2 linked regions of the Caenorhabditis elegans genome follow. The protein of the gene in region 1 purifies or fractionates together with the protein of each later gene. This does not show direct contact. Each region holds a gene or a part of one and is shown in the gene's direction. Other genes may lie near its edges. The genes, in order: actl-1 and ilcr-2.

What was found.
Region 2: the proteins of actl-1 (region 1) and ilcr-2 purify together in Caenorhabditis elegans (affinity purification with western blotting, with the first as the bait; one study listed by BioGRID). This does not show direct contact.

Annotation. Positions count from the first base shown.
Region 1 is NC_003284.9:6,496,108-6,501,845, reverse strand, and holds actl-1 (ACT1-like protein), read left to right. Parts: upstream 1-2,009; coding exon 2,010-2,081; intron 2,082-2,343; coding exon 2,344-2,441; intron 2,442-2,491; coding exon 2,492-2,612; intron 2,613-2,657; coding exon 2,658-2,814; intron 2,815-2,898; coding exon 2,899-3,000; intron 3,001-3,054; coding exon 3,055-3,245; intron 3,246-3,743; coding exon 3,744-3,908; intron 3,909-4,591; coding exon 4,592-4,768; 3' UTR 4,769-5,043; downstream 5,044-5,738. Other genes in the region: cdf-1 (Cation diffusion facilitator family protein 1), read left to right, coding at 1-361, 441-582, 1,093-1,396, 1,447-1,551. UniProt on the Caenorhabditis elegans protein: May act as an adapter to facilitate downstream signaling for the receptor complex composed of ilcr-1 and ilcr-2, which is a signaling complex that modulates neuronal activity and animal behavior in response to sensory neuron input.
Region 2 is NC_003280.10:5,473,365-5,479,315, forward strand, and holds ilcr-2 (Interleukin cytokine receptor-related protein 2), read left to right. Parts: upstream 1-1,881; 5' UTR 1,882-1,887; coding exon of another isoform or gene 1,888-1,926; 5' UTR 1,927-2,044; coding exon 2,045-2,321; intron 2,322-2,369; coding exon 2,370-2,454; intron 2,455-2,512; coding exon 2,513-2,639; intron 2,640-2,937; coding exon 2,938-3,823; intron 3,824-3,875; coding exon 3,876-4,051; intron 4,052-4,099; coding exon 4,100-4,211; intron 4,212-4,263; coding exon 4,264-4,445; intron 4,446-4,491; coding exon 4,492-4,647; intron 4,648-4,691; coding exon 4,692-4,847; 3' UTR 4,848-5,162; downstream 5,163-5,951. Other genes in the region: clr-1 (Receptor-type tyrosine-protein phosphatase), read left to right, coding at 1-21; mrps-16 (Small ribosomal subunit protein bS16m), read left to right, coding at 1,044-1,190, 1,252-1,378, 1,527-1,657, 1,888-1,926; Putative zinc finger protein F56D1.1, read left to right, coding at 5,256-5,452, 5,499-5,566, 5,615-5,745, 5,790-5,890, 5,937-5,951.

The DNA of each region.
Region 1 (5,738 bases):
AATAACAAGAAGACTAAGAAAAATGATGGGCATGGTCACAGTCATGCAAATGGCCATGGACACTCTCATGATGGGAAAAGTGATTGCAATGGTGAAGAAGAGCCGGATCACACTAGATTGAATGGAAAATTTCGAAGTGCTTCTGCGATGGCAAACTCCGACGCCAATGTGCGACTACTGGATAATGATGACAACTCCAATGACATTATTGAACGTCGTCTTTCTGGAGTTAATAGTCAGAATACCATCATCGCGACGGTCGATCGTCAAATGACACCATATGGAACACACATGGCCAGTGAAGTTCTCAATGTGTCTTCTAACAATCTCGATAAAAGTGCTCAAAAGACAGAACAGAAAAGTGAGTTTTTTTTTTGAGAAAACTCTAGTTTTCATTCGAAAATGTTTTAAATCAAAATAGTGTAGCGAAATGTTTGTAGAAGACAAAAATGTGAACATTCACGGAGTTTGGCTTCATTTATTGTCGGATGCCTTCGGATCTGTGATCGTCATGATTTCTGCCGGATTTGTATACTTTTTGCCAACATGGAAAATTGCCGCTTATTTGGATCCAATTTTAAGGTAATATTTATAAAATTTGGCCGAAAAGCTTCAAAACAAACCAATCTTAAAATCACTTATAATCATATAGTGCTGAAACCACCAAAAATCATTTAAAAAATGTCAACTTTTATTTTGGAAAACTGCGAGTCGGAAAACAGTGAAAACTCTTTTTGTCAATTTTTTCTAAAGTCGAGGATCAAAAACAATTTTTTTCAGTTTTTATACCACGATTCGGTTGTTATCCATTTTCCAGCATTACAGGGGCTCGAACTTTGATTTGGATTTCTCGGAAAGTGGCTCAAGATCAGTTTTCCTAACTTTTTGACTCGCAAGAAAAACATTTAAAAGAAAAACATTCAATGTTTTTAGAAAAGATTTATGTTATTATTAGTAATTATGAAACCACATAATAGTTTTTTTTTTAAATTTAGTCTTCTCTGGCTGTACTCCACCATTCAGTATTTTAAAATTGTATTTTTGTATAAAATTGTATTGTATAATATTTTAAAAAGGACCGTTAATTTTCAGTATTTCCCTGGCCTCCATCATGGGTTTCACTGCAGTGGTTCTTGTCAAAACATCGGGAGAAAAGCTGCTCAAGCAAACCCCAGAAGGGCTCGACCTCGAAAAGGTGAAAAAAGATTTGTGCAGCATTGTTGGTGTATCCAAAGTGGAAAAGCTGTCTGTGTGGACGTTGTGTGGGCAACGAATCATTGCTGCCGCCCACGTGAACATATGTCACCCAGCAGTTTTTCCTGAAGCTGCTTATAAAATTAAAAATTATTTCCACGACTTGGGAGTACACTCAACGACTATTGAACCCACCTTTGAGGTAAGCTTTTATTTATCTTGTGCGAAATCGAAAATAAAAAAAAAATTCAGGATACCTGCATGCAGTCGATGAGAATAATGGTTAAAAAAGTTGTTGATGGCAAAAGCATCGAGGAGCCAGTCAGTGTGTCAACTGAAAATGAAATCACCGAATAATCGTTCAAACAACTATTTTATTTTTGATTAAAAAATTTTGAACTTCGCGGGCCGAAAATACCAACATTAAAATGTACTTTTTCTTCTCCTTGAAACTATGTTTTTGCATTTGATCGTTTTAGCATCTCAACATCTACTCACCTTTCTTAGTTTCCTTCATTAACCGTATAATTTTTTCCACAATCTGGTCAAAAACTCGTCAAACTATTTAATTTATACGTGTCAATCCATTTCCCCACCCCCATTTACTGAAGTGTCCTTACTTTGTGTCTACCAATTTTCACTTACGCCTACTTGTTTTGTTACCCTTCAGTAAGAATTTCTCTAAATTTCTAGAGTGATAAAAAATAATAAATGAAATATCCATTTTAAGTAAAAACTAGTTTGAACATCCAATGGTTAATGCCAAATTGTCTACTATATTTATAAATAATTATACATACAGTAATAAGCGAAAAATGACTAAGATGAAAATGGACGTAACAATTGAGTTGGATCTTGATGGCGATGATTGGGAGGAGGTTGATGTGGTAAGTTGGTAGTTCAAAAGATTTTTGTGTAAAAAAGAAACTGATTGAATATATTTGAAGTGTACTATCAAGTTGCTCGAAATGCGACTTAAAGTTGTAATGTTCCGAATTACTGTTTTTGTCGGCACATTGATATTTGAGTCAGTTTTAAGCAATTTTTCAAAACATTTGATCGAAGTGACAGTATTAAAAAATGTTTCTTATACTCCTGTTCAAATTTCCAAATAAAATGTTAACAAAATATACATCTTGAAAATTTCAGTTATCCGACAAATGCGTTGAAGATATTCTAGAAGACGTTCACATAGATGATCCAATTTTAGTATCTGATGTTCGAATTACCCTACCTGCAAACATTCGGTATGTCATTCTATTCTATAAAAAACGTCAAGTAAAAAAATCGATTACAGAATCAAAAACTTCAAGAAAGAAATACGAGATTTGATTTTAGCAAATCTAGATGTCCCAACAACGGTTTCGGCCGGATCATGGCAGATTGTTTCAAGTTTCTTGCGCGGCATTGAATACTCGGTAACTTTCAAAAATAGTTTCAACGTTTATAAAGTTTGTTTTCAGGAGATAGGAGGAAGGGAACGAAATAGCAAGCTATCGTGGAAGCCATTTGAAGATATGCACGCTCAAATACTTGTAAATGCTCTAGCATATGCTCAACGAGTCGATATTTTAGTGAAGCTTAAATCGTATATAGATTCCAACAGTTATCTGAAAAATGGTGAGTTATCATTTTCATGTAACAATTTTTTAAATTTGACTGATATTATTAAAACTAATTCATACATGCACATTGTAATTACAGTTCCCGAACCAATGTTTGCATTTGCTGACACGGACTCCATGGCAAGTACAACTACATTTTCAGAATATGCGGAGCCTGTACATTCGATGAATGCTAGGAAAAGCAAGTTTTAATTGAAGTTTTAGTAATTGGAACCTAATACATTTATTGTTTCAGAAATATTATTGTTGCACTATGAAACTACGTCCAAAGAAAAGGAAGATTTCAAATGGTTTAAATGCAATTTGAAAAATGTTTTAGAAAAAGAACGCAAGGAGGGAAAAGACTTGGAAGTTTTTGATGTGAAGGTGTGGGAGAAGGATGATCGGGGAAACGTGTTTCAGGAGCTGGAAAAGCATTATGATCTAGTGAGTTGGCAATAAGTCTAGTCATTTCGGGGGCATGTTATCAAATTATTATCAAAAAATAACAATTGCACAGGCCACGTGGCTTTTGTTTTTTTATTATATTTCTTTTTTATTTAGGCTCCTCCCATGTTTGACTTTTAGTTCAATTTTTAAATTCTCTCCGAAAATAAAATTGTGGGAGGAGCGTAAATAAAGATGAAATAAAAAACAAAAGCCACGTGGCCTGTGCGATTCATATTTTTTGATAATAGTTTCAATTTTTCAAATGTATTTCATTGTGTAACATTTCGGAAACAACTTTTTGGTTTTTTGAAAGATTTGAACATTATAGACTTTAAAGCCCTGTAAGTCTAATACTGTTCTGGTGTTTTTTTTTTACGGATTTAGTTTTCATTTTTCCAGAAATCGTGGGCAATGTTTTTTTTTATTATTATTCAACTTTTTCTAAGTTGTTTGTGATTGTAAATTACTGATTACAAAATTTTTTGCATTTTCCAGTTTCCGCATATTGTTGTGTGCTTCAATAAATCTTACATAGAAGCCACAAAACCGAACAGCAAAAGCAAAATGCCTCAGTTCCGAAAATCAATCAGTGATAAGTTGAATGTAGAATTCCACATGAATGGCAATCGCAATTTACGAGGCAGATGTGTACTTATGTCGGTGAGTTTGGTATTTTGAAAGAGGAGTAATTTCTGGTATCCAGAAGGTTTTAGGTTAAATGTTAGGTTAAAGGTTAATTTTTTTAAAACTGATGCAGTGAAAATCTTTGATTCAAAATTATATCTCGATGTTGAGGCAATTATTTTCATTTTCAAAGATGGAGTAGCAAAATTGGGGACATTGCTCATTAAAGTTAAGACCAAATGTACCCAATTTTGTGATGAGGTTCTGAAGTTTTCTCAAAAACAGGTTATGGCGGTTCAAACTATTGAAAAAATATTGTATTTTCATCTAAAATCGCAATTCTGTATACTCGACAAAACCACAACTTGCAAAAGTAAAATTTCATGTGAGCCTAATTCATTACGTTGGCGAAATTTGAGATTTCAGCTGAAAATAGGGTTTTTTTTCCAAAACTGAACTACCGTTATTTTTTATGAGAAGTTTTAGAGTTTTCTCATTACGAACGTCGGAATTTTGTGATCATTTTTGGTCTGATAAAATAAAGACTCAAATATAGCTGCTCCACCTTCTACAAAATTTTTTGATTAATTTGTCTTAACATCACATTTAAAAACTTCGTTTTTAATTAAAGATTGCAGTATCTTTCTGAAAATACATGGCTGGACATCTAACTCTCTGGCTTCCAAAAATGTTTACACTGTGTGAAATGTGTATTATAGGAAGTGGAAAAAGTAACGGACACGTACTGGGCAGCTGTAACGAATCAATATCCATTCCCCGGAAGTTTTGAACCATTTGTGAAGCGTCTTCTGAGAGATGGAAAAGTGAAGAAACAATCACACAATAATGCAAATGATCATCACGAGGATTCCATGAACTACAGTATTACACAATAAACACCATGTGGTATTTTGAGCCAATAATCTATACATTGTAGCATCTGATGAACTTTTTTTTCATTGTACACTTTTTTGATGACAGTCACGTGTTTTTTTAGATTTCTCAGACAGTCTTTACTATCCACATTTTTTCATATTACAAAAACAGTATTTTTCTTTCAATTTTCTCAGTTAATCTATTAAGATGTTGTTTCCGACTTTCAATTTCCAGATTTTATTATACACTAATGAAATAAATCTTACAGAAGGTTCTATCTTTGAACACTATGAATTCATAATTGTGAAGCACTTTTATCCTAGACAACTTTTCCCCACTCTTCTCACATCTTTTTATAGGTTTCAGTTTCTCAATTGAAGCTGACACATCTGCCGCGCTTTTAATTAAATTAGCGGAAACTAATATTCAGAACAAATTTGAAGAAGAGATTGAGACAAAATCTGAGTGGTAATAATTGAGAGTAACAACTATGGGGATGTTTTCATAAACCCCTTGGCAAACTCAGTCGCTCAGATGGAAATCCTATGCTTTCAATACTTTTCACCCTTTTTTCGCTAACCGGGAACATCGGTTCATAATCAAAATTTCAATTACAAGTTGTTGAAAATTTTGAATTTTGAGAAATAAGTTTGATGCAAAATTGTTTCACGAAATTAATTGTTTCACTTTTCCCATTGGCAATATTCCATCTTAACATTTTAATTTTTGTGAGTTCATTGGACGCTTTTACAATTATTTTCCCCGAAATACGTGCCAATGAGGTTTCGAGAGAAAGGTTTCCTAGTTGACAATTTTTATTTTCTCCTTTTTCAAACAGTGGATTAGCAATCGACTGGCATGATGAAGAAGGAGGAGATCATCTCAAAAAATATTAACCAAAATAATAGGCAAAGCTTATCAGACGGCATTAGATGTACAACAGCTTCTGGAAAAAGATTTGATATGATAGTCATAGTCACTTTACATCCA
Region 2 (5,951 bases), on another chromosome or scaffold:
ATCTCTAAGACATATAGGTAGCTGTTGTTATATTTTTCCATTTATCTCTCTAGTCACATAATATAGTTGTTGCCTTCCCCGTTTTAGCTGTTTTCTGGGCACAAAAAATTCAACAAGCATACAAAAAACGGGTCAATGTTGTGCTCTCTTCCATATTTCCCTCTCATTACAAAGTTTTACTCAGTTATGTTTTTTTTCGTTTGTTTCCTCATGAATTCTATTTATTACCCAATCTCTAATACTAGTCAATAGTCTATTCTACACTCCCCGCCTCAACCAACACCACCGACACACAGAAACGAGTATGCAACTTTCGGATCCTTCTCAATGACTTCAGATGATTTTTTTTTCAGATATTTGCTCGAAAGCCATATTGTTGCCTTTTTGAATTATTATGTGTAAATATATATGATATCTAAATGAATTTATTATGAATTTTGATGATGTTTTATATTTTCCTAAATAATATTAAGATCAGTTTAGATTTCAAGAAACTTGACATGCAGATTTTTACGAATTCTTGTTGGCGCAGTCGGAAAAATTTGAAATAAAATTTCCTTAATTTTGGAAATTAAATCAGTTTTGTTTATCATAACTATCTCTTTTAATGTACCAAAAAACAAAAAAATATTACATTTTTCTATAAATTTTAAGTGCAATATTTGTCAATTATTTTCAACTTTTCTTGTTTCGTACGCAAATCAAACGAGGAAATGAAGGATTGTACAAAAAATACACCAGAAGAAATCAAAATTAAATTTCGCGCGAAATTACTCTTGTGTCCGCAAACACCGACGGACAACATTGCGTACTTGACACTGCACTTCACGACATTTAAAAAAGTTTTTCTCTCCACAATTTCTAAACTTTTTATAAACATTGTGTAAATAGTTTTTTGAGTTTTGAAATAATTCTATTCGAAAAAAAATTTTATTCTTAATTTGCAGCCGTTCATAACGATCGTAGTACATTCTGCCTCTCGTACGAGCTCAATTCTGTTTTTTGCAGATTGCTCCTTCTATGAGCGAAATTTGGTGCTGGAAATGCGAAAATTAGTAATTCCAAAATATTACGGACGTCCTTCGATCGGTTTGGCTCTTTTTGGTTGCACAAACCGACCGTTCTATCACGTTTGTGTATTTCCTGATCGGGCTTTAGGTCGAAGATACGAGGGTAACATTCTTGAACAGGTGAGAATTGCTTGAATGAAAAAATTGCTTGAATGATTTATAATAAAATTAATTTTTACAGGTGGGAACTTTTGATCCACTTCCAAATCAGAAGAACGAGAAGCTAGTGGCTCTGAATTTTGGACGCCTCAAATATTGGATTGGTGAACGGAACGCTCATATTTCCGTTCCAGTGCTTGAACTTCTCGGTGAGCGGAGAAACTGTGATAATTATTTTTTGGAAAATACACTTGGAAAAAAATTGCGGGAAAAATTCTTGAATTAATTTTTGATCTACTGAAAATATCAACTGTTTTCGTAGTTTTGATGATCAAATTAATTTTTTATTCATTTCAGGCCTGTCGGGACTCTTCCCAATTCACCCGAAATCGTTCATTCGAGCCAAGGACAACAGGGCGTTGATTGCCGATCAACAACTGAAGGTAGCTGCAGAAGCCGCGGAAGCTGAGAAAGTCGCACAAGAGCAGGTAATTAAAACTAATTTTTCTTCGATAATCTCTGATTTTTACCGCAGCAACATTAAAAAAAATAGAGATTTTCTAAAAGTTTTCCCGTGTACAAACATATCGTTTTCACCTTGTCGCCTCGCCTCAAGAGGTGAAAAGTCAACAAATTAGGTTCAAATTCTTCACATGTTTACAATCAGATATTCTTTTACCGCAAATAACGAGCTAAATCTTTTTACATCAATTTTCAGGCGTCAACTGGTGCCGCTGCGACATCTCACCCACAGTAATCTCACTTTTCTCTTTCTAGAATCTCTTAGAATTTATATTTTCTTCTATCTTTTTTGTTGTTAAGTTGCTTGTTTTCATTTTCTTTCTTCAAAACCGCACTTTAATTAATGACATAAAATGGTCCGCCTTTGCACTACCAATTTTCTTGCTTATCGCGCAACGGGCAGTCCCTTATTACTCCTATACTTCTATCTCTGTTCACTATCTTCTGTCAAATCGTCCGCAGCAGCATCATACACCAATGCTTCTGATTACGTCCTTCGGAATGTTTTTGAGCATTCCGATCAATGCTACAAAGATTCATTCGTCTATGTGAGAGCTGATGATAAGAAATCCGATCCTTTTATCACGTACTCCACGACTAAGGAATGCTCAGAACGGCTCAAGAAAAATGGTACATTTTTTCCCGAACCAGAAAGATAATTAATTTTCCGATTTTCAGATCTTCCTGAAAAGCTGCCAACATGTCCTCCTGGTCTTATTGATCTGGAACTCAAACCAGTCTACGTACCAAAGTCCCAGATAAGGTTGGAAATCAGTCAGAAACTGTGGAAATTTTTTAATTTAATTAGTTAATTTTTTCAGTTATCCATATGCCAACCTGAATATTTCCGTCACTGCTCATTCTTCCGTCGATACCATTGCATTCCGTCTTGAATGCTTGTCAGCTTCAGATGGTTCAGATGTATATTGTTCCAATTCGAAAGCCATGGTAACTAGATTTAACAACTAAAAGACGCGAAATTTTGAACGTTAATACGCCGGGGATACGGTACCAGGTCTCGACACGATAAATGTTTGTTGATTACGAAAAGGTGTGCGCCTTTAAAGAGTACTGTAGTTTTAAAAAACGTTTCTCTATAAAAAAGAAAAATCTTTAAACTTACATCACTCTTTAATGACGCAAACCTTTTCGCATTCAACGAAAATTTGTCGTGTCAAGACCCTGTAACGTATTATTTACGCTAAACTTCGCGTCTGGGTAATACAGTAAAAATTCAAATTTTCAGTACATCAACGGAGTCAAAGAATGGCCGTGTCGCGGAATTCATCTTTCGTCGAGAGTTCAATATCCCACCAGATTCTCGTATTCCTGTTTCCGACTCACTTCATTTTCTGTCTACGCAATCAATGCAACTATTCTACCGCAAAAATGTAGAGTCTCAACGATTATGACTGCTCCATACTTCGATGACATGTTCCCAGAGATTCTTGTGGATCCAACTACCAATCAGTCAATTATAACGAAAACGGATCCGTTCTGGGCACCGATGCTGTCTGCTGATTTCAGTGATAAGAATGCGATTTGGGTTAGATTGGGAAAAGCGGAGAGGGCAGAATGCGAAACTATGGTTGTTAATGTCTACAAGGAACACGATGATGATTCTCAAAAAGTGACATTTCTGGAAATTTTGACTGTGAAGTGCCCAGAAACCGCCGTTAAATGGGAAAATCAGAAAGCAGGGAGATACCTTCTGACGGCATACGTTCCTATTCGTGGATGCAAATTTTATTGCGAGAAGAAAGAACGAGGATGTCGGCAATGTCTTCGTACTCATCTGAACCTGGTTATCTACAAAAATAGAGCTTCACTGTCTTGGCTCGCATTGCAAAAGTTCAAAGATTATGGTTTCGAGATTTTCATCGCTGTCGTTGTACTTTTGATACTGATCATCGTTCTGGCTGTAACTGGATTTGGTTATGTACTATGGAGAGACAAAGTTCGATCTCGAGAAGTTCGAAATATAGCATTGACTGAATTTGTGAAGGTTATGATAGTTTATGCGGATGACAATGATTTGCATACCGACTGTGTGAAGAAACTTGTCGAAAATCTCAGAAACTGTGCATCCTGTGATCCAGTTTTTGATTTGGAGAAGCTTATAACCGCAGAACGTAAGTTTTTAAAAAATATATAGTATTTTTCAACTTTTCATACTAATTTCAGAAATCGTTCCATCCCGCTGGCTAGTGGATCAAATCAGCTCTCTAAAGAAATTTATAATTGTGGTTTCTGATTGCGCTGAAAAGATTCTCGACACGGAAGCTTCTGAGACTCATCAGCTTGTTCAAGCTCGACCATTTGCTGATTTGTTCGGGCCAGCTATGGAAATGATCATTCGTGTAGGCAATTGACTCGGATTTTCTTAAAATCAAGAAAAAACATTTTAGGACGCAACACACAATTTTCCGGAAGCTCGTAAGAAATACGCCGTTGTCAGATTCAACTATTCTCCACATGTTCCACCAAACTTAGCGATTCTTAACCTTCCCACCTTCATTTGTTAGTTTATTTTAAAATTTAAAATGTAATCTTTCTAATTCTGAAATTACAGTACCTGAACAATTCGCGCAACTCACTGCATTCCTGCACAATGTAGAGCACACAGAAAGAGCCAACGTCACTCAAAACATATCAGAAGCTCAGATTCATGAGTGGAACCTTTGTGCTAGTCGTATGATGTCATTCTTCGTTCGAAATCCGAATTGGCTCGAAACGAGATGGAAACCGAAAGACGTGAGGGTTTTAATTTTATGATTAATTTATAAAACTTCATTTTCAGGAGCTCGCAGCGCTTCACCTCAAACGTCAGTCTCCCGTCATTGTTCCAATCCAAACTGAAGAGGATCGCATTGCTGCTTCTATAAAGTATAACCTGGTGCCCCCGCAAGCACTCGTGGACAGTGATGACGAAGATGATGTTGATCTCCAGCCACACGTATGTTCATTCAAAATGTTCTCAGCTAGAAATATAATTTTTAGGCTTCTCATCAGAACCAGCCACTCATTCTCCTACCACCTGAACAGTGCGGCCCTGACTCTGATTCTGACTCGGAATCTGACTCCAGTTCGGAATCCGAATCTGAATCCGACAATGAGGGTGAAGATCCGAAGACGATTGTTGTGAAGAAGTCATGAAGAGACTTGTTATTTTTATTTGCTTATTGCTTGTTACGGTGTGATACGTGGTTAATTATGGTATATTATTTCGATTTTTCTGTGCGATGCTTTTTCATGTTTATTTAGTCAGCGTGTCCCTCAATGAGATGTCTTATTGTTCTGAAGCTACGTTTTCCAGAACTCCAACATAGCGGAGGCACGCTGGCTTCTCATAGTTCAGAATTTATAATTTCCATGTCATTTTTCACTCATTATTTGATTTTTATATATTTGATAATTTGTTCTAGGATTTAAAAATTACGCTATCTATAAATGTTTAACATTTCCTTAATTGTTTTCTTTATTTTTCTCTAATTAAAACAGGTCTTATAACCTAGTCTATCTATGAAAAATTATTTTTACTGTTATCCAAAATCCAAAATTCAGATGATATCTTCGTTTGAACCACCATCTTCATCGTCATCGTCTTCTGATGAAGACTCTGATGATGAATACCGAGAAGAAGATGGCAACAGTGAGAGAAGCAATTCGAAAGTATGCATTGAAGAAGTTGAAGAAGTTGAAAAAGAAGAAATTGCGAGCAGAAAACGAAAAAGAGGAAAAACGAAAGACGAGTTCCATCCGTATGTGGAATATTTTTATATAAATGAAATGCGAACATTTTTACAGATGTCCGTTCTGTGAGAAAAAGTTTCGATATCCCAACAAGCTGAGAGAACATATAAAAATTCATGATTGTATGTTTCAGCATTCTTATTTAGTAATTTAGATAATTATTTTTTCAGCTAATCGTTACCAATGCCTTGAATGCTCGACAATTACCAAATTTGGCACATATGGTGAATTGAGAGCACATCACAAACTACATCATTCGAAGGCTTCTCATAAGTGTCCACAGTGCTCGTACACTAATGAGGTGTGAATTATCGAGTTGTTCATCTTCTGATATTGGAATTTCAGAAACCAGCATTCATTCGCCGTCACTTCGAACAAAACCATGTTGATGGTATTCCGTGTACAATTACTGGCTGTTGTATCAAAGTAGCAAAAAATCGGCTCAAGTGGGTTTCATCGATTAATAAAAAATACATTTTAATACAATTTCAGAGCTCACATCAAAGA